Neodiprion lecontei: one gene and its partners. The protein of the gene in region 2 purifies or fractionates together with the protein of the main gene of each other region. This does not show direct contact. Links are inferred from orthologs where the notes say so. Each region holds a gene or a part of one and is shown on either strand. Other genes may lie near its edges.

What was found.
Region 1: the proteins of exportin-1 (region 2) and nuclear pore glycoprotein p62 purify together in Homo sapiens (affinity purification with western blotting; 4 studies listed by BioGRID and IntAct, with this or other methods). This does not show direct contact. The link is inferred for Neodiprion lecontei from reciprocal best matches to the Homo sapiens genes XPO1 and NUP62.
Region 3: the proteins of exportin-1 (region 2) and 60S ribosomal export protein NMD3 purify together in Homo sapiens (affinity purification with western blotting; 3 studies listed by BioGRID and IntAct, with this or other methods). This does not show direct contact. The link is inferred for Neodiprion lecontei from reciprocal best matches to the Homo sapiens genes XPO1 and NMD3.
Region 4: the proteins of exportin-1 (region 2) and nuclear pore complex protein Nup88 purify together in Homo sapiens (affinity purification with mass spectrometry; 3 studies listed by BioGRID and IntAct, with this or other methods). This does not show direct contact. The link is inferred for Neodiprion lecontei from reciprocal best matches to the Homo sapiens genes XPO1 and NUP88.

The regions. Positions count from the first base shown.
Region 1 is NC_060264.1:1,899,546-1,905,207, reverse strand, and holds nuclear pore glycoprotein p62, read right to left. Parts: upstream 3,524-5,662; 5' UTR 3,181-3,523; coding exon 3,099-3,180; intron 2,904-3,098; coding exon 1,832-2,903; intron 1,754-1,831; coding exon 1,507-1,753; intron 1,431-1,506; coding exon 1,068-1,430; 3' UTR 616-1,067; downstream 1-615. Other genes in the region: checkpoint protein HUS1, read left to right, coding at 1-119, 216-599; UDP-glucuronosyltransferase 1A9, read left to right, coding at 4,144-4,517, 4,587-4,932, 5,262-5,520. UniProt on the Homo sapiens protein: Essential component of the nuclear pore complex. The N-terminal is probably involved in nucleocytoplasmic transport.
Region 2 is NC_060262.1:35,772,611-35,777,606, forward strand, and holds the start of exportin-1, read right to left. Parts: upstream 3,198-4,996; 5' UTR 3,061-3,197; intron 3,044-3,060; exon of another isoform or gene 2,793-3,043; intron 1,266-2,792; 5' UTR 1,229-1,265; coding exon 1,031-1,228; intron 264-1,030; coding exon 69-263; intron 1-68. Other genes in the region: rab3 GTPase-activating protein non-catalytic subunit, read left to right, coding at 3,683-3,767, 3,892-4,002, 4,892-4,973. UniProt on the Homo sapiens protein: Mediates the nuclear export of cellular proteins (cargos) bearing a leucine-rich nuclear export signal (NES) and of RNAs.
Region 3 is NC_060263.1:19,579,091-19,586,044, forward strand, and holds 60S ribosomal export protein NMD3, read right to left. Parts: upstream 4,949-6,954; 5' UTR 4,556-4,948; intron 3,830-4,555; exon of another isoform or gene 3,699-3,829; 5' UTR 3,630-3,698; coding exon 3,580-3,629; intron 3,460-3,579; coding exon 3,325-3,459; intron 3,234-3,324; coding exon 3,083-3,233; intron 2,987-3,082; coding exon 2,852-2,986; intron 2,748-2,851; coding exon 2,639-2,747; intron 2,541-2,638; coding exon 2,390-2,540; intron 2,305-2,389; coding exon 2,162-2,304; intron 2,092-2,161; coding exon 1,940-2,091; intron 1,851-1,939; coding exon 1,735-1,850; intron 1,649-1,734; coding exon 1,466-1,648; intron 1,390-1,465; coding exon 1,194-1,389; 3' UTR 729-1,193; downstream 1-728. Other genes in the region: sphingomyelin phosphodiesterase, read right to left, coding at 1-124, 240-324; uncharacterized protein LOC107219245, read left to right, coding at 5,284-5,428, 5,991-6,175, 6,275-6,471, 6,697-6,954. UniProt on the Homo sapiens protein: Acts as an adapter for the XPO1/CRM1-mediated export of the 60S ribosomal subunit.
Region 4 is NC_060262.1:30,565,564-30,570,412, forward strand, and holds the start of nuclear pore complex protein Nup88, read left to right. Parts: upstream 1-1,744; 5' UTR 1,745-1,749; intron 1,750-4,849. UniProt on the Homo sapiens protein: Component of nuclear pore complex.

The DNA of each region.
Region 1 (5,662 bases), on a different chromosome or scaffold from region 2:
ATATTGAATTACCTTCGATAAGCAACGAGCTTAGACAGTGCGTTCATGATGTACCTGTTAAAGTAATTCCTCGAAAAGAATGGGGGGAATATCAGGCTCCAATTATACCGTCGTTCGATGTATGTTGAAGAGACCTAATACTGAATCATATCGTCTGGCAACTTAGCTCGCGATCAAGTTTACTCCTGCAAATGCATCTCTATTTTTTGTTACAGGTTTCCATAGAGATGCCAGACATGAAACACTTGCGAAATGTTGTCGATCAGATGGGAAAAATGAGTCCACAACTTGTCGTAACTGCTAAGAAAACAGGGAAATTAATACTGAAGGTGGAAACCAGTTTTGCTACCGTAGCGACGCACTTTCAAGACTTGAAGGTTGGAGGAGACGATCGAGACTCAGGAGTAACGGATGAAGAAGAGGAAGAAGTTTCGGCCACCATAGATATTAGGAAATTTGGAATGTTTCTAACATGGGATATAATAAAAGCCGAAAGCGTAATTTGCAACGTAGTGGCTGACAGAATGATTAACATGCATATGAACATTGATGGACATTTAGAAATACACTATTTCATACCAGCCATTTCAATTCTGTAGAAATCAATTAGAATAATAAATTATAACTTTTTTTATATTAAAAAATTACGTATTTGTGCAACACCGGAAATTAATCGATTCAGATTCCTGATCGCCATATAATTCAAACAATTATCTCATTATGTATATGTAGACCAAGACAGTCCTCCAACGATGGACTTGCAGTAATAATGAATATCAATCTTTCTGAGATTGGTTGGAGTGCATTTTTTACTCTTTGAAAACAAAACAAAATTCATACAATATTTGGAAGTACAGCAGATATTCGGTCATGTCAATATTCCACTCGAATTGTATTCTTAATGCAGATTAAAAAATTGAATTGTGTAGTTGAATTAGAGTACCCACCGAATAAGATGTTCAACTGGCATATCTGAATTCGCTGAAAGATGAAATCGTTGACGGTCAAGTTTGCAATTCATCCAAGGTCCTATGAAAGTAGTCACTTGTTCAATGGCGACAGAGGTGTTAATTATAAGCCAAATTGAAGCTTCGCTCATGTTCCTGTCTAAAGTTTTGATGCATTTGATCAATCTGCTGTATCTTTGTTTGCAAAACTGACGTACGTTGATCGAGCCATTGCAAACTGTTCATATGTGCATTCAGTATTTTACCAATCTGGACAATCGGGTCACTTGAATCTTGAGATCTATTCGCTTCGTTAAGGTGCTCAATTATTTCTTTTAAATCTTCGGACATCTGCTTCAATTGGGTATCCAAATTTTCTGCAAGACGATAAGTGTATTCTCTCTCCGGATCTGAGGCGGATACTGTTGCCAATTCTTTTTCCAATGGAACGAGGCAGTCCTGTAATTCTCTTTGTTGACCAACCTGGAAGAAAAGAGACGTTAAAGTACACATTAACATAATTAGAAATTCGCGTTGAACAAGGGTTACTTTCACTTACCACATAATCCAGCTCGTGCTCTAATTGTTCCTGTTCTAGTTTAACCCTTTCAACTTCTTGATTTAGGGTAACAATTTTTTCTCCATTCGCAATGAGAAGTCTGTCCCAGGCATTGACCTGCGTTGCCTGATTTACAAACGCTTTTTCCTGCTCCTCTAGTTCCAGTGTCCATTTATTTATCGATTCTTCCAATTGACAGAAATTTAATCCACCTGGTTGACTTGTTGCAGCCGTCGAGGCTGTAACACTATTGTAAAAAGCAATTGTTAATCACATCCATGCCAAGAATTAAAATTTTATGAGCACTACGGATGAAAACACATACTTGGTCGTGGTCTCCAAAGATGTTTGTGGTGCGCTGGTAGGTGCCGCAGTCGAAGCGGCAGGATCTGTACTCTTTGCTAGAGTGAATCCTGGAGTGCTCGCAACCGTTGTTGTACCACCCGAATTGAAACTGGTTGCAGCCGTAACAGAGGGCATACTACCGAGCGTGAAGATACCCGAGGAAGCTGGAGTTCCTGTGGAAAATCCAGTTGCAGCCGTAGCAGGTGCAATAGTTGCCATACTACCGAGGCCAAGGCTAGTTCCAGTTGTTTTAGCTGCTTGCGTCTGCGAGCCAGGTAGATTAAATCCACTGGCAGCGCTTGCGGTTGGCGTAGCGGTAGCAGTGGGAGCCACTGCGGTACTTGGGGCAATTTGCGGAGTGTTAAAGAGACTGAAGCCTGTAGCGCTTGTCGCAGCTGGAGTAGTGCCAACTCCGGTTGTGAATCCTGATGCTGGTGTAGATGCAGCAGGTACTGTGAAGCTCTGACTTGCCGGGCGAGCAATGGTGGTAGTAGCGACTGTTTTTGGAACACCAAAGCTTATGTTGCTGGCTGGTGGTTGGCCAGATGTGGCAGCAGTCGATGCCAAATTGAAAGTAAGAGCAGAGGTCGTCATAGGTTTTGCACCAAAGCTTAAACCATGCGTAGACGAAGGCATCGCTAGGGTGCCAAGACCTGAGCTTGTATTCGGAAGAGTCGTAGTACGGAAACCTACTGATGCATTAGTCGTTGTTGCTGCACTGATCGGTGTTCCATAGGTCAGAGCCCCAGCTGGAGCCGCTGTGTTTGCTGCAGGGAGACTGCTAGCCGTTATTGCTTGCTGCTGCGGAGTTGCAAGGCCCATTAATCCTGACCCTGATCTTGCAAACCCAGTTGTTCCAGAGGACGGTGTACCGAATGCTGGAGCTGTCGCAGGAGAGGCTCCAAATGTTGCTGTTCCAAAACTCGTACTAAATGCCTGGCCAATAGATTTCGACAAGGGGTGTCCTCCTGGCTGAGCCAGGCCCAGTGTCCCCTGCTTGTTGGCATCGCCGGCGCCTACTGCTGATGTTCCAAAGGTGACTGGTTGTGCTCCTGGGTCAGAGAAATTTAAGAAATTGAGAAATGAACTAAACATAACGAATGTCAGTTAGGGAGTCGACCAAAAGTTTATTACTGGGAAGCATAAAATACAGCAATTGTGGCGCAATTAGATCAAATAGTAAAGCATGGATAAGCCAGGTGACAGAGAATCTTTCGTAGGTAGCAACGAAACGTAGGTAGGTTTACCTCCTGTGACAGGCGGGGCAGTAGTTCCTGGGGTGAACCCAGCCTGGGTATTCGGATTCTGAGCGCCAAATGTATAATTCATTTTTATTTACAATAAAGACTTCAATGCACTAGAAGGTAGCCGAATAACCTCCAAATTCGCCGAGTTGTTAATCTTTTCACCTAACTTAAGATAAAGTTTTTTTTTCCCCGATTTCGACACTCTGAAGTTTGCATCTGTAGGCACAGTGGTTTAATATTTCGTTAAAACGTATTACTCTCTACACGATCCGATGACTCTTCAAAAATTATATCGCACAGATTTACGTTAATACAGGCGCTTTTGTGTTTGACACGACTTTTCGCCCGCGCTGATGCGCAAATCGAATATTTAGACGCACGGAACGATGGAATTGGTACGGTAGTTCGATTTACGTTACATTCAAAATTGTAATACATGTAAGTTCAGGTATTAAAAAACGATCCACAAGATTTGGGTACACGGACTTTTCGGCACAATGAATTCAGAAATTCAGTTGGTTGACGATAAGTTAAATCGCGCGCGAAGCGGCAGCGCACATGGCATCTCGTGATGCGAAAAATGGTAGGGATTCATTCCACGCCCACACGTGAGATGCTGGACGAACGTAGAAGGAAATAGAGAGAAAGAGGAGAGAGAAGGAATACCGGCACAGCGAACGGCCGGTGACGGTTCTGCGTCAAGCGTATTGATACTCGAGGGTTTTTGCGTCGAACCTGAGGTTAAATTACCAAAACCCAAAATATCAGAACCATCTGGAACAAGGATAAGTGGTTGTCGATGTATTTCAAGCAGTATAATAGCCCAGGGATGAAGAACCGTGGAACAACGAAACAGTCCGATTGTCTCAAATGCGTTCATGAATACGCGTACACGTGGAAGATGTGACACATCGCAGAGTAACAGCAAAACATCCTCTGTCTCAGGGCGCGTATTATCATATCGCGAGTACGCGTTGCTGTAACGCCGGACGAGTTGGTTACGGTATGAGCCAAGTTGAGTAGGATAATTAATAACTAATCAACGATGATGCTGACTAGTTTATACGGTGCGTGGTTCTCATTAGCTTTTGTAAATCTGATAAGTGCGTCGAGTTTGGTTACGCCGCCAAAGTCTGCGGTGGTTTTGGCTTTCGAATACGAGCACGAATTGTCCTTACTCGCAAACACTCTGTCCGACGAGAACATAAACACAGTGTTGATAATACCCTCGACCTCGCGGGATCTGCTGTACGATAATTTGATCGACGTCGAAGTTGTCGAGGTGAAAGTCGACGCGGCTTTGGCAAGTACGAAGGAATCGCGGGCACTGAAAGCCTGCGAAAGTCTCCTGAGCGATGAAACGATTCAAAATTTGATTCAGGAATTTTCACCGACTTACGTTATTTCGCCTGGTTTGAGGTACAGAATCTGCGAATGAAATAGGCTCACGAACTCGACCGATTTTAAATGAAAACCATAACTTTTCAGACACGACGCCTGCGTCCTACCATGGGTAAGAAAATTCGCTTCAATTCCAGTGATTTGGACCCAAGGCTCGGAGGCTGAATCGTACGTGTTTCACCAGTCGGGAATCGCCTTGCCGATATTAACCGGTGGATTTTGGAACCGTTTATCGTCTCTTCTGGGTATCAGATCGATCGTGAAAAATGCAAATAGCAATTACGTCACTCCCGCGTTGGAATTGGTCGAAAAGTATTTACCAGCCGAAACCGACACCATAGAGAATCTTTACCGCGATGTCGATCTAATTTTTTGGGGCGCCGATACGATTCTCAGATCCGACGTGTCTTTCGTTTCTCAGATGCTGGTCGAGGTAAAGAATTTTGACTCTACCCTTGTGAGAATGATATCTACAATTTTCGACCAATTTTTAGGGAAATGGTAAATACGCATAGTTTCTCATAAAAATTTCCAACATTTCATAAAAAAAATCTAAAAGCTACTACAATTTTTAACAAAAATTATTAATTCTTTACGAAAAAACTATGCATATTTACAACTTTTTACGAAATAATACGAAATGTTCCAACTTACGTAAAAATTCGTAGTAGTAGAAATTTTCACCGTAGTACTCTTCGATTTTCTTTCCCCGTTTTATTACGCACGCGTAAAAGATTTGCTCATTTTTTTTCTCTCCCCCAGATCGGGTGTCATCATTGTCGCGGAGCACATCCGGTTCCACCGGAACTACAGAAAGAACTGATAGAACGCCGGTCAGGAACGATCGCGACGCTGCTGGACAAAGATTACAAAAATCTGATAGAAGAAATCGCCAGGGGTTTACCGCAGGGTCGTCAGGGACAAGCGGTAGTCTGGAAAATTAAAGATGTCGATTATTTGAAGGAAGAAAAGCCGGATAATTTGTTTGTGAATAAAGAAGTTATCCGTCAAGATATCATTGGTAAGTATATTGAGGTGCTGTATGTTTGTATTATCGAAAATTGTCTGATTCTTCACAAAAGTTTGAAATATACACTCCGCCTCGTGCGGCAAGAAGTGAATTAAAAAGTAGCAAAGGCAGAAAATCGGGGTGATTTAAAAAA
Region 2 (4,996 bases):
AATAGTGATAATAAGTATTCCCGCAAAGAAAACAGTTTTCTTTTATTTTATTTTTTTTCAATTATTACCTGCACAAGGATCATATTCAGCTTGTTTAAGTAGACCTTAGAGGCCTCCATTGTTTCCAGGTCGCTACTAGTTTTGATGATCAACCCGACAATATACTTTTTAATACCCTCACATTGATTCCTTGGTAGAACTTTCCACCGTGTCTTGATAACCTGCTCTAAGATCTGTAGTGCGTAGTACTTTGTTTGTTGATTCTAAAGAATTAATGAAAAAGTTAGACGCATTCCTGTTTCATTCACATACTCTGTTCATTCAAGATTCTTTATTTCGGAGAGAAAAATGAACATCATAATGACCATTTTTTTTTTTTAAATCACTGTGAAATTGACATGATCATACTAAACTTTCAGAGTTTTGAGGTTTTTCAGAACTCGTAATTTAATTCTATCTTGATTCAACTGTTTCAAGATTGAAATTTTATACAAATTGTTAGAACCACTGAAAAAAATTAGATGCTGAAGGTTTCCACTTTTATTCTGAAGTTTACTTATTCCAAAATGTTAACTTTAGTGAGAACTATTAATTCTGTGCAGCTGAACTTTTTTCTTTGTCTAAAATAAATTCCAACTATCCAAAAAAAATAAATTGATACTCTTCTTACTTTCTGGTCTATAGAATTTCGCAATCAATTTTAAATTTTCGAAATCACCAACTTAAATGGCTAACTATAATAATTTGATATTTTTCTTTGTTGCAATACAATGAAAAATTGAAGGGAATTATTTTTATTTGGTAATTGATGTCAAATAGACCAAAAAGGCAACGGTGCTAAATTTGGTGTGAATAACTTTCAGCTAAGAGTTACAGAATTAACCAAATCATTTATGGTGATGCTAGTGGAAGGCATGACCATGTCTCTCTACATTGACGGCTGTTGATTATGAAATGATTACTTGAATAAAAAGATTTTCACACTTTTCATTCAATGGTCAAAGTTTTCTCTACAATTGGCATAACTCACCTGTGAGTATTCTAAGATGGTGTCAACTCGTGTCCACGCATCTGGATGTTCTTTGAGGGTGGTTAGCACTTCCTGAGCAACACGCTGTTGTTCACCAACCCCAGTATACATGCATCCGACTATATTATCCAGGAGCGTGATGTCCAGCTTTTGGTTGAAGTCCAATAACTTGGACGCTTGCTCTGCAAGTGTCGCCATTGCACTCACTTATTACCCTTGCTTTCACACACTCAATCTGCACACAAAAAAAATATCATTATTTGCATTGTTACTTGTAATGCGTCAACAGTGATGAGCCTGCACTACGACTCTAGTAAATATTTTAGTTTAGAGGTTGCTGCTGATCAAATAGAGACTAACAGTTGCATGTAAACAGTAGAATTGTGGTAACTAAATTTTAATGAATACTGATAACTTATAATCATAACATTCTAAACAAACAATATTTCCTAGGCAATCTTATTTACATATGGGTACCTAAAAACAAAGTGCCCAACTGAGGGACTAATTTTTTCGAGTTTCTTTTTACCTAACATAATTTTTAAGCATAGCTCGTGCAGTGTAGAAAGACACAAAAACTCAGGTTTTAGAATATATGTGAAAATTTGCGAATTATGATAAATCCGGAAGCATATGGTCTGACAACGTAATTTCAGCTTGATAGAATAAATAAACAAAAATTACAATGTAAAAATGTTCATTGACCGCTATAGAATACGTTGTTCCCAAGTTGTTTCGGTGTGCACTTAAACAGCGTTTGTTAGCAAATTTGATAACTGATCAATATTTGCCATGAAGTATGATGCACTTGCGGTTCAATCATTACAATTTCAATAATATTGAAATATGAGACTACATGGAAAGATTCCAAAGTGCTTAAGAACAAAATAAGCAAAAGAAAAATAATGAAAACATCATTAACTTTCGAATTGATTTCTCAATGATTAATTAAAATTAGATATCAAAGTTTAAGCACATGCCCCGACATGTGTAATCACGTATGTTTGTTTATTCAATGAGGACAATACATTACTTGTTTTTAGATTAAATTTCAACGCAACAACTCTCAATCTAAGAACATTTTCATTTACTGATACAAGATTTAAAAATTTGTAAGTACGATGCTTGGTGCACCTAGTTTCCATCCAATTTTTGATACCGATAGCATCGAAATTGATCTTGCTAAGGAAACATGCCCAAAAAGTCACTGAAATTCTGAAATCTGAATCTCAAAGAACCTTCAAAAAAGATGCATCCATTATTCTAAACTTCATGCCATACATAATGGGATGGTGCTTGATGTATACTTTGTCTATTCAGAAGAGAGTTGGGAAGGGGAGGGAGGGGAGGGGGGATCATGTGCCATGATTAATTTGGGGATAAATAAATTTTCCGAACAAATGTTGAGAATTCAAGGAGCCCGATTCCTCCACGTGCCGAAAAAACGGAAAAAACCAAAAATGCTAGGAAGCGTGCCGCAGGGGAGGTCACCGCACTGCGACCGACCGAACAACCGACCTAACCTACATCTGACAATCGCAAACAAGGTTATGTGAATTTCGGATTTTGAAATATAGTGTAATATTTAGAGTGGAATCGGATGAGTAGAGGAAACGATACTAACATAATGAGACTCGACGACGACTACCGGAGTTAGGTTAAATAGTGTAAATTCGGTCGTCCAGGAAGCCCGGCTGCCGTTTTTCCATTGCGTCGTTGCCCGTTGGGCGAAGGTGATTTGAGATTGAAGGTTTTGACCTACCGTATAAACTCTTTCATACAGCTTCCCGTCCCCGGGGTAAAAAAAAGGACGTTTTATTTTCTTTCTCTCGCCAGTCGTTACGTTTCAGAGTAATTAACCACAAGCACAAAAGGGCTAAACACACAAGTCGACGATTCCCGCGCGCTACACACTTCTCGCTCCTCGTTCCACACACTCGCAGTTTCGCTCTTTCTCACTCATTTCTCCAACTCTCTACTTTCTCTCTCTTCCACTATCAGAATCAAATACACTAAAATAATATACCCACCGAGGCCGATGTACGTCAAACCTACTTTCCCCAGGTTTCATGCGAATTTCATGTGATTTTTTCCACCGATAATACGAGCAAACCCGTCAACTATGTCGTCGCGAAACCCAACCTAAAGATTTTCGAAAATAATAACAAGATGGCCGAAAATTTTACGCGACAAATGCGGAGAAACAACGTTCACCATTGGTAGGCTACACCAATTTCGACCAATCCTCAATCGCATAAACGATAGTTTAGTATGACGTCAGTGGACGTCACATGACGTCACGGAAACACGTGTGCTCATTTTTACCTTGTAATAAAAATTTACGGAAGGATTCTGTTTTTAAGTGTATCATATTTCGAAATTGTATTTATTTCTATTCGGCGCGCGCCAAAATTTATCCGGACATAATGTACGCTGCATCTATCCTCTCTTTTAAGGAACTTAGAACGCGTTATTTGAAATTCCGCAATATATACTAGCATTCTCAGAAACATCGTGTCATATGATCTGACAATTCTACTAACTTTTCAGTCAATTTCCATCAAACTTTATTCCGCTACAGTCTGCATATTCATGCATATTCGAGATGAGAGTCATTTAACAACATATTTATAATAAAGTGTCAGCACGAAAATGTCGTGCCAAATCAAAGGAATCGCTAATTTGGTCGATTTGCCCAACGTCAAGAATTCCTTACTCAGAGATGCTGGCTCCAAACGTAAGAAAATCCCATTCAATTAAAATCTCAACTGTCATCAATAACAGTAACCACTAAGGTTATCCAATAAACAATATGTACGTTACACCCATCTATATCTACATATTTATACCCAATCTTTCAGTGGATTATGTACCGGATAAAGAACTACCTCTTCAAGATCTTATTATCTCCTTATCACCAGCAGGGGATGTCCTCGCAATTGCTTGGAATAAAAATATGGTCATTCTGACGTGTAAGTTTACAGCAAAAACTCATTGAGCAACAGTACAAGTTTTTGCTTATCACCACAACATCCTCTTGATGACTTTCTTATACAACAAAAGGAGCGATACAATCATCTCGACCTGCATCTGATTTATTACCGATGATAGAATCACAGAATTCTTCATACGAAATAAACTTTTTAAAAACACACAAATAAAATCCACAGAATCGATGATAGTTCCTAGTTCAATAAAACTTACCCCGCTTTTGACAAGCTTATATCGCAGAGCTCAAATAGAGTAGCGGTGATGTTTTCGAATAAGCCTATCAAACTCATTCTAGCTTACGAGCTTATATGAACAGTTTTTCCCTACATTAAAAAGAGGTATAAGCAAAATAAAATGCCTTTCAAGAGCCTTTTAAATGCATAGCTGTTTCCACACCACAATTGGGCTAGATATAACTTTATTCTGTGTCAAACGACAAAACGTTAAATAGTACAAATTTTGTAAGCATAAGAGACACAAAGTCATACTATATATATTTTTGCAATAATAGAGTAAGAATATACAAAATGTTAGTACGTGAACTGAATATATTCAATTTGCGAAGCCAAATAGCTCGGTAAAGTTCTTCATAAATTTTAGATCCATCTTCAACCATTATCTTGCTAGTATCACGTCTAAAATTCAAGATTAAGGTGCCGATTACTGGACCTAAAATATTTTCAATTTTTCATCACGGCATAGTAGAAAACTTAATAATACTGAGTATTCAAAAATTTTAACATCTTTCTAATACTAGCCAATGATTGATATGCCTGTATTATACTATAAGCATTAAAGTTCATTTCATACAAATAACGACAATTAATTCCGTAAACGTTGTAATTTTTCACACACTGTTTGTCAATACAGCAAAATGGGATTCGCATGAACCTGGAGATGTGAAAATGAAATTTCATCTTACATGGAGTGGAGATGTAACGGATGAGGAGAAGTAAGTTTTTCTAATTTCGTTGG
Region 3 (6,954 bases), on a different chromosome or scaffold from region 2:
AAATCAGTGTTTCGTGTAAGAGTTGGAAAAGCCAATTCGGCTAAGTACGCCTTAAGCTCCTCTGTGACTACTCCGGTCTTTGCTAATACATCAACTTCTGCGGTGATTGCTGCTACAAGCCTCTCTAGAACATTCAAAATTAGTTTCAAAGGAAAAGGATGAAAGATTACTTAAATTGCTACTGATCGTTATTTTGTTGCAGTATTAATTATTATGAGAAAAAAAATAAAATTACTCACCTTCGGCAGTAGAAATGGTATTCGACACCACATTCTGTACGAAAAGGGTTGTTGCAATAGCAACGAAAAGCCATGAAAGCTTCATGTTGCCACAGAAATGAGACACTCCTCAGATACAACTATCAATATATATTAAACGGAGTTCAACAATAATAATAACAATGATTACCAACACTTCAAGTGGATTAGCGCATAATAGGTTCCACACCCTCATCTGCTGATTTTACACAACATATCATGCTACATTCACATGGAATTGTCATTCATTCTTGATAATACCGCCAGATATTATGACGACTCGTTCGTCCACGTTGATGATTATTTATTGATAATATACACCTGTTTCTGCAACAGCCTGATAGAGATTGATTATCAGAGCAAAAAATCTGTTATTGTCACTCCGACACTTGAATTTTTGATTGGAAATATTGATCACGTTTAAATCACTGATACTTGATTGTATCACTTGTTATACAAGTAAACGTGAATTTAGAAGCTCGTATCAGATGCCTTTCATTCAACAGGATAGGTAAAACTTGTTCATAAGTAGGATTACAAATTGACTCGATTAAATCGCTTATACATTAAACCCGTTTTTTAAACCGGTAAATTTAAGTAGGGGTTTAAAATTAGCAGATTCCACTTTCGCACAGCCAAGTATTATATTTGTAACCCACTTTCCATCAACATTCATAAATATATTTCCGTACTTTTGCAATATATGAAAAAAGTAAGTTCCGTGCAATATAGGAATCTTGTCTTCACATTTTATTTTAGCTACAAGAAAATTATAAATTTGTCAACGTAAGTAATGCTTAAATTTATAGCTTATCTTGAAGTGAATTTATCAGCAAATATGAAAACAATATTCAATGTTTTTTTTCAACCTATTTTAAAGTTGTGTGTACATCTGTAATATACATAAGTAGGTAATAATATCTGTATTGTTACGTTTTATTGATAGACCTCAGCCATGTCGGTATCATCTATCACAAGATCGTCGAGCATTTCTTCAAGAGTAATTTGTGGAATGCTTGGATCTATTTCGTCTGTGTCTACAGGCATCTGCTTGCTGGTATCTCGGAATATATTTATATTCTGTCTCATTTCTGGGTCTTCTTCTAATTCATCCAAAAACTCGTTGTACTCACTGGAAGTATGGTTCAATTGAATGCTCAAAAAACAGTATACTGTAATCTAAGTAATGATAATAAAGAGGTTCATACTTGTTCTCCGTACTCATGCTGACCACCTCTTCAGCCAAGTGTTTCAGTTTCCATACTCTGGCTCGACGGCGTGCCAATTTATCATGACCATAGAACTTTTTCACTAGAATTACATCAGGGATCAAATCTCCATCTAGTTTTTCAAAATTCGTATCATTTATGTTGCTGTCTCCTACTGCATATCTGAAATTCAAATATCATAGCGCAATAGTTGCAACAATTTGTTCAATGTCTCAGATGTAAGAATAATTGAGCTTAGATCAACATACCCAAGAGCAGAATCACCCGGTTTAAGGATGTATCCCAAATGCGTTCGCGTGTGAATAGTGTTCTCGCTTATTCCAAGCTCTGAAGCTTTGACAAGCCAAACGTCTGATACAACGTGCTGAATAGTGAATAAGGAAAACGATAACTCAGAAACTAAATATTTAACGAGTCTAATGAGGATTTGATTCATTGATTCAATTTATTTACCTTATTAGATACTGCGCCTTGCCCAGGAAATATTTTTTTATCTTTCTCTTTTATCGGCTCAATATCAATTACCACATACTCTGTAAGCTGCTTTGGATTGCAGATACTGTTGAACGGATATCGCCAATACGTTGTGGCATTAATTTCTGCGACTGTTAAAATTTGCTGAATTAATGGAACCGAATTATTTCCATTGAATGTTTTTTACTCAGTGTCACTTACTTTGTCCTGATGAAACGTCCATGAGATGAATAACGTTAGTTGTTCTGTAAACAAGACAGATCGGACTGATGTTTCCCAAGTGATGTGTTAATTTCTTAGGTAGACACACCAGGCTGTCTTTAGATATGGGTACAATTTCTACGCTGCAATGATAAGAAGTTTACTTTTTTTTTAAATTCCACTTCAGAGAAGTAGTGGAATTCAGGTTGATAAAAACAATTGCTCTACCTGAATGTGAACTTGTAGTTATAAACATTACTATGAATATCGTGTGAAATTAATTTCTTTGAGTGATGAGAGCGACAAGGCAATACTGCACCAAGGAAATCGATCATCTTTCGCGCTGCACTTTCATTGGCATAGTAAAAATCCAGACCATCTAAATAAAACCACATATTTTTTAATCAGCTTATTTAGTTCACATGGAATCAGCAAAACGTACAAAGGAAGAACATCACTAAAGTTCTCGATTTTTACCGTGAATCGGCTTGATGCCCAATGTCTGATCATGAGCTTTGTGCTTCAAAATGAGCTGCTCTAAGTAGAAAAATGTTTTCTTATTTATCGCTTTTTGTCGTACTTGTACCTGGAATGAAAAACCTCTTTCCTTACTATTCATACTTGCATCTGTGATTTTTTAAAATTAAATATTCAATGTCTGAGTATATGTATATTAATTAATAAACCTACAGAGGCACGCCAGTAATCTTGGGCCTCACTGCGATGGCAATCATCACACATCTGATGATTGACTACATATTCGACAACAAACACTTGTTGCAGAACGGTACCACCCATCACCTCAGCGTGAACAGTTAGTTTGACCTAATTTGAAAACATCATCAAAGTGTATCACATATGTTTTTTCAAACGAAATTGGCATTTAACATAATTGGTGCGTTAATTATTAACTATTCATACTTTCAGTCTCTTTGAGTGGGGTTCTGTCCAGATAAATCCGGCATCTATGAGTTTAACACGATTCAAACCCTTCAATTTCTTGAGACACAAAGATAGGAGCTCACGAGATTCTAACGCTGCGTGTATCCATTCAGCAGGAGGCTGCAAGTACCTGTTTATCATTTTTGTTTAATATTGTCCGATCTCATTGACTATACATGTGAATAATTCTGCAGTCTCTTGCACTATGGTTGTTCTCTTACCTTTCGCATCCCTTGCAGAAATGCAATGTCGCCTGTTTGGGGATACCGTCGGTTATGTCAACTCTTGTTCGCAAACAGGCGACACACATGTTGGCTGGGTTTGGTGAGATCGGTACTCCGCATTCACAGCATAAGCTACGAAGGAACACAGTAATATTATAAGTTGAGCAAGTCATTTGTCATGGTAAGAATTCAAAGCAACGGAAATACAAAGAATGCTCATAACATTATTGGTTAAGAAACCCTTTCACTCACATGTGTGCCGCGGATTCTTTCGGCATAGCCGATTCATCGATGTATTCCATTTTCGATCAAAGAACTGGATTCGATCGCAACCTTTTAGAAAAGAGAACTCCAATACCCTTTTTATTTAACTGAAAGCGGTAAGTTGGAACAATCAAAACTTCACCAGCACGTGCTCGGTCATCGGAGTGCATCGGACCACAATAGGCAGGTAACGTTTCGTTAGTACGCAGCGATGCTGCTAATTAGCACGAAAATCGTAACGTGACCAAAAGATGATCAGAGTCGCTCATCTACAAGCAGCATACTCTTAAGCCATATCTCCTATACACCAATGCTGACCACGGTCTTACACATATATATATATATCAGTGCTCTTATCTGTCCATAGACTTTGAAAATTGTAAGGCTATCTCACTCTGACCAATAATTTGGTTCGAATGGCGTGTTCCGAAATATACTATCAGTAGTGTGAAATTACCGCAAGAGAGAAAGCGCTAGTAAAAATCTGAAAAGAACAAGGAAGCGAGATAACTATCGGTGCCGGCATTACATTTTGGAACACGCCTGTGAAAAGTGAAGAGAGACTTCTTGGAGGAATGCCGCGCAAGAACGCGAGCGCGACTGAGGCGTTCGTGTGGACCCGTGGTCCGTAAGTAATTGTGAAAATATTCCCGGTTTCAAGAGACTGAACCAAAGTTAGAAAAAAAGAAAAAGAAGAGTTAAAAATTAGTCGTTTAAGAAGTTCATTGAAAGGAAAAGGTGTAGAAGTGTTGTAAAATGCTGGGGGACATTTGTGTGCGTAGCGTATTGTTTGACAGTGAGTATAATACGCGTGTGCGACGAGCTTGTGATAAAAAGTAAATACGTAGAGTCAGTGATTAAGCGGGGCGCTATAATATTAGTGTGTCGTAATGATTACTGTACACTCAGCTCGCGGTACTTCTTTTAAAATGATCGGTGCCCAGTTGGAAATGGTTGGGAATACCTATGCTGGATTGTCGGCGAACCGCGGCGAGGATGATGCAGTCTAGTTATACCGCTCTGCTTGGATGCTCTGACTTGCGATGCCCACGGTTGTGATAGTTTTTCTGGCATAGTCGTTGGTTTGCACTCTGCACACGCAGACGCGGCATCAACATAACACTATCACCACTACTACCAACAGCACACCACCTTTAATCATCAGGGAGAATAATCGCGGGTGTTATATCAAACTCTGCACTATAAGAAAATAACTAAATAAACAAGTTATCGAAACATTGACGTATATAAATAAGTACGCAACATACGTAGGAAGTTACGGATCGTGTTGTATGCGTAAATATGAAGTGGTGTCAAGTGTTATTTGATTAGTGCGCGTCGGTGTTTTGACCCTCCCCGCTCCTCACATCCCCTCCTCGGTAACCCCTCCCCGCCCGCACCGTGACGCTCAACAAACACCTTCGCACATCTCAGTGCGTGTGTAAGTGGTGTTATATCCATCCGTGAATCGCGGACGTGCGTTGGTGAGATTTTCGGTTAGTTTTTATTACCGCGCGGAGGTGTTGAAGGTGCGTAGCCACCTAAAATCAAAACTCATGGTAAAATTGTAACGACGTTCGGTCCGTGCGAGCGTCCGAACAACACCGAAGGTCCCGATGTTGAGTCGACAGGCCGCCTAGCGTAGTACTCGAAGTACTCGACAGCTCGCGATCAAAGCAAGCGGCAGGAAAAATGGCGTCGGATAACGAAGCCTCCTGCGTTAGTGACCCAAATTTCGCGGTAATTTGCTCGTTCCTCGAGTGTTTTGGTAAATCATGCGGCATTGAGTACCCGGACATAGCCTTACTTCAGGATATGGTAGAAAACGCCCAGGAAGGTGAGTACGCTCCGATTTCAGTGTCAAACTTTGTTTTTCGAGGCCCTAAGGGACTCGCGATTTGACAAAAGTCGCTTAACGTTTATTTGCTTTGCCCTATTCGCTGTACCGCCTCTGCGTGCGCATTTTCATCCCACTTCCACGATCTTTACCTCAATGAAATTTTTTCTTCGCCTACTACGATTCATCGTTATCGCTTAGCGTGTATTTTTCAATCTGATAATGTTGACCGCGAAAATTGCCGCCTGTATTGACAGATGGATATTATTTTTTTTCTATTGTTTATTATTTTCTCATGTGCTGCCACCTCTCACTTATTTATGATGAACATGTGACAGAAATCAGAACTAAAGCACACCACTTATAATTTCAATTGATAATTGTTATAATTGCTACTCAATCACGAATTATAAAACCCCTTAGCATCGCTGGATGTAAATATTTCCTTTCATATTCATTACCAAGGTCACAAACAATACAAACAAATTAGGATTACTTGCGTACAGCCGTTGAATTAAAACTTATAAAAAGAAATGATTTTAATCTGTGTGGGTTTTTACAGTACCACAACAGTTGATAGACCTGCACATAAAGCTGTTAAGAAAAACGCGCAAGACTGTATCCGCAGAAAAATGGGAACGAGCTCTAGTGAAATTTTGTCATACATATTCAAACCAAGATGGATGGGAGCTCGAGCGTTTCGGCTACAAGAAAGCTCGGATTGCCGTCAAATTGCGGCTTCTGAAGGTAATTGATATCAACATGTTGTCTAAGTTTGACAATCTTTTTTTCTTTCAAATCACACTCCTTGCCCTACTAAACAATTTTTATTAAATCAATATATAGGTTCTTCTTGAGGCGCAGTTTGACTTGAATCAAAGGTTCAAAAACGAAGTAAACAAGTTGGCTGCGAGTGAGTTGCGAGTCGAACCTCTTGGTCGAGATAAGTCTGGCTTAGCTTACTGGTGTCAGCTGGATGAAGAATGTAACATAAGAGTTTACCGCGAAGACTTGGACGAGGAGAGCTGGCAGCTTGTTGCGAAGTAAGTAAAGTTTTTGCCAAGTTTAATTGATTATGAGACAGATCTTCAAAGTCTGTGTTACGCGCTTATTGTTTTTAGCAAAACTTTGAGAATTTTAAATTAGGCCTGTTGAACAAAGGCGTACTTATATACTGGGAGTTAGTTTACCAATCTTCTGCACAGTTGTAAATCGTATTTCTATAGCACCTGTAAAGAGGAAAATCTGTTTTTCTTTTTCTAAACCAGGGATCGCGACGGGGTGGTCAGTCTGATTAGCACATTGACAAATGGTGAGGCTGGAGATATACTAGAAACAGAGGATAGCAATAGCCTTGAAATATCAGAGAAGCCGATAATTGATACAGGTCAAGTGACAACCTCGCCAAGCGTAGAGGAGGAAAATAGAGATAATATAGAAGTGGCTGTTGTCGAGGGAAATGGCAAAGAAGATGCAGAAAGTTTGGAGGAAGACCTAGATGAGGAAGAAGATGAAGAGGAGGATGA
Region 4 (4,849 bases), about 5.2 Mb from region 2:
AATTCCTCGAGGAATACCGTCCGAGTTTGGTCGGGGTTGAGAATCCGGTAAAATGCACGCCCGCGGGCTGGAGGGTTTTTGCATCTCGTGCTATATGCACTTTAGGCCCTGACAGTTTTAACGGGCACCAGCTACGGTATGTTATGCGCTAGGCGTATGGAAGTATGGATTTCTCATAAACTCGATCTACCCACTTCCCGGCTGGTACCCATAATTTCCAAAACACATATATTTAATTAAACAACCCCTCGAGTCGGAGGCTAGCCGCGCTTGCGATAATCGCGATTCAACTTGCAGGTCTCGTTAAGCTCTTCGCCGGCGCTTGCGGACCAATGAAAAAACCGGCTAGAAGAACGGCGGCCAATCAAAACGGGGCTATCGAAGGTACGAAAGGGCAGGCATGCGGAGCCTTGGCAAGCCTCCCGAGAAACGTATCGCGACCGTGTACCGCATGTTCGCCGCAGTATCGCAACCGCGATCAGATATCAATGAAATTTGCATAAAAATCTATACAATGCCCACACCGAGTAACCTGCACACCCGCACGCCGTAGGCCAGACACTTGTTCATTTCGAAATTGCAACCCGGTGTTATTTGCTGCAGCCCCACCAGGCATGATTGATGATTAAAAATTTCCTCCCGCTATCTTTAACCGTATTTATTTAATCCCGTTCTCGACGGAGGAAAATTTCGCGTCCGAGTTGGCGAGACCTTACGGATACGGTCAGAAAGTGTCCCCTGGCACAGTTGTCAGCTACCCCTTTCTACCGGGGAGAGTTGGTAAGGCGTGGAGAGCGAGCGTGGTCGATAAGGGAGTCCGACATCGGCGCGTCACCGCTTTTCGCAAGTTTCTGTACTACCGACAGGAGAGTCGACTTCTCACCCCTTTTCGCGGGGCTTGCGAGAAGCGAAAAGCGAGAAGCTTTCGCGAGAGAATTTTAACGGTCGCCTGTCGTGTCTCCGTAGCGTTGCGGCGTTATCGTCTCGACTGTGTATATAAGGTTTCATAGATTACAAGTGAGTGAGGGGCGCCGGGGGTTGAGCAATATAATTGCAATCATTATGCAAATACATTGTACCCACTGGCCTCTGTGTTGCTTGTACGCGTTTACACGCGTCGTTATAATTGATCGTCGACTGTGAAAAATATCCTACCGCGCGAGTTTTGTATCTCGTATCGATACCTGCGCGTTGCGTTTATATTTTAAAATTACCTAGAGATTTTCATCGGAAATTTATTACCCTTCGTTCCACAAGGCGATACTGTGATTTAATAACACCCTTGGCAATCTCTTGACGGGGAAAATTGCGCATTGGCAAAAGAAGAAAACAAGGAATGAAGTAACTCCAAGTTGGCAGAGAGTTAACAGAATATTGTCACGACACGGGGAAAAAAATATCCAGTCTTGACAACCGGTATTATTTTATCCCGATAATTGAATATACAACTCTGAAAACGTTGAATCGATGCAACCTAAAAAAAATTCCAAGGCCCTTTTATAACGGAAAAGTTTGACACCACAATCCGGAGGATTTTGTTACGATTTCCCAATCAGCTGCAAAATACGTATACAAATTATTGTCGTTGAAAAAATTGAATCAAGAGTATTTCCTGAGTGGATATACACAAATCCCCTCCTGAAATCATTTATCAAAACGATTGGTAGGTAATGAGAATATAATTTATGAGTCAATTATAATAAACATATTCGTCATAGAATAAAAAATGCTCTTCACATGACTGGAATTGTTATTCCAATTGAAATCCAACGGGAGGAATTGATTAAGAAAATAGACCGCAATGAGAAGCGAATCTTGCAATATTATAAGCGTAACCCTCTTGCAGCTGAAGTTCGTGACATCCATTGCGGATGGTAAACTTTTCGATTGAATGTGAAGTATGAAAAGCTCTGGTATTATGTTCGCGTTCGTCCGTTTTGCATGCGATTTGAGCACAATGCGGGCCATCGGAAGCCGTCTCCTACTACTTCCGACGTCTGACTTGCCTGTCTGTCTGTCTCCCCTGCATACGCAATCTCACACACACGTACACAGGCATGGGTATTCGCATATTTATTTGCCGCTATAGAAAAATACACAACGGTTTAGAGGGAGAATATATTCCTTATACGCGTTCTGTCACTCAGACGCGAAGTTTTGCATACGTCGGAAGGGAGGAAGGATCTGTGTTCTTAACCTAGCATATCACTTCTTATACGACGAGTACGACGCTGAGGCATATGTAAATGTCAATTCGGTGCCGTAGAGGAGCTTCGTCGGTGCGCGTTAGCGTCAATCGCTCGAAATCGCTCGAAGACTCGAAATCTGCGGAGCCGAAATAATTTCTATCACTTTACATCGTGATCCTGCGGCTTGTGGCCGATAGCATGGATCAACACGAATTTCGAGTCAGGGTGCTAGATATCAAGTTTTGATTTCTTCTATGCAACTTATAAATGAAAGAATAGTTTTCCTAGATAAAGTTTGTTTTCGAAGAAACCAGAACGATATTTCGGATTTTAAGCAAAATTATCTATTTTCTCAAATATTTTTTGTAAGTAACAAGTAAATAAACTCCAGTATTGCACTTAAATCACTTTTATTCAAAAATAATAATTAATAATAAATTACAAATGTAAAAGAATTGGTAAACAAAGTTTGAGAATTAACATTTCTCGTACTTCTTCGATTCTCGTACGGACTTTCTCGTATCAAACCCCAAACGTAATCTCCCACAATGGTCTCATGATACGTCTCCGATAAAGTCCATCTCATCTTGATGAAAACGTTCTCCTTGTTCTTCCGAATAGGCACCCATATTACAGCTGTCAACCAAAATCTTAAAACCTTGCTTATCAACGTAAAAACGACAAAAACAAATTTTATAAGTAATAAATAAAGGTTTCGGTTATAAATCGACGTATAGAATCGAAATCTATTTACTTCAATAGAAATTCGAAAACAAAATTTCTTTTTTCTCTGCTAACCCGTGTAGTCTATTCCCATATCCGATAACATCCAGGCGAAGACCAGCCTGCCCACGGCGATCGAGGAACGTAACGAGACCGACGATTGGAAGTCGGAGCACAGACGAATTCGCGGATCTGGGCGGGTGACAAATGGTCCCGGACTTGATTGAGTATCGGCACGCCAGACACGCGAGGCTGATAAATAAATGAATCCGGTCCTCCTGGGGCGCATCTTACATCTTACGCGGAATACAAAGCATTAATAGATACGTTTCCACCTTATACGGACTCGCTATGTACTCTCTATCTTACACTCGCCTCCATCTTGGCCGTACGTTGCCGTCCACGTTTCCACGATGAAAATAAACGAGGGACTGCCCGTACCGCTATCGATCTATTCCCGCAGGATAACCTCGGAATCTCGGAATATCGTTGCTCGAGGAAATTAATCGACGTCCCGCCCCATGTTCATGGTATTCATTGGATTTTCAAATTTGTTCTCCTGTAAATTGACGCAGGGTAATCTTACGGGGCTTGCGTCCTTTAAAACAGTCAAACAGGTATCTGAAAATTGCGAGAAAATGTGAATGAAAAATTGACACCAGCGATATGTTGAAAAATGATAGTCATCGAACTTTTGTTGGAAACCTTTTTCATTCGACTGTTCTCGAACATCAATCCAAGAGAAGGTGATCGGAATCCATTTGCATCAAGAGCCAAAGAAATCGTTCGTTACAGGCATCCCTTATTATTAGACGGCAATGCTGCGGGTTTAGGACTAAGCGGTTGATAGGTACGTAGCCTTTCATCGGAGTCCCGCCGCACGCTCATACATGGAGACGTAATACGTACGGTACCGTATACTAATGGCGGGTAGACCATAGCTGGTCATCCAGAAACTCGAGGGCTTATTACGGGAGCGCGGTGTCGAGAGCAAACAAAAGTCAAAGGCAAACTTATATGGGTGTAGGTGGGATACGCGTACCCCGTCTGACGAGTGTTTCTACGAACGCGGACGGGCATAATCTCCACATGACAGCAAAGCTCCAGTGACATGACGACCGGTAATAAGAAAGGGTTAGCCCGGAGGCCTAATGTAACACACCCTCGAAACACGAGGGTGAAATAAAAATAGTATCCAAGTTGTGAGTGGGTATGCGCCGCGGGGTGGTGGGTGGGTGGGTAATATAGAGCTTTTGGTATCATTATCATATCACGTGAGAGCATGTATGCTTGTCAGAGAAAGATGGGTGTTGGTGTCGGGGTGGAGGGAGGAGCGAGGAGCAGAGGGGAGATGACGAGGATCGGGGCGAGGGGGAGTAATGTATGTGTAATATTTTTAATTGTTGACATTAAAATGTGTCCCCCTCGGTTTTTTCTTGTTAGCGTTACGGCGACGGTGGAACGAGGGATTGTAGGGTAGGTTGGCCGGCTTCTGCTGGTTGGCATGCTCGCCCTACCCAACCCTGGGATGTTATTTATTTTCCGCTTAAAGAATTGTTCATGTGTCTCATCAAACGAATGACTTTGGGTCAGAGCTTGGAATTTATGATACGGAATGAAACGGAATGAAATGGACGTCGTTGGCATTTCCTAATCGTCCGAAGTGATGCTCTCTCTGTAATTTAACGGACCTTATTTATAGTTTGATAATTATTGTTGTTTGTTTATTCTTTCTTTTTTTTTTTTTTTTTTTAGTTTCGTTTTTTTCGTCATTTTTATTTTTCATTTTCTGGATTATAAAGGTGAAACACCTCAGATATCGGCACAACTTTACCGATTAGAAAAGCCCGTCGTCGTATAAATTTTTAACCCTTCGGTCATGCAGTGCTCAGAAATCCTCGCACGAAATCAACTGGTAATATTTAGGTACTCCGTAA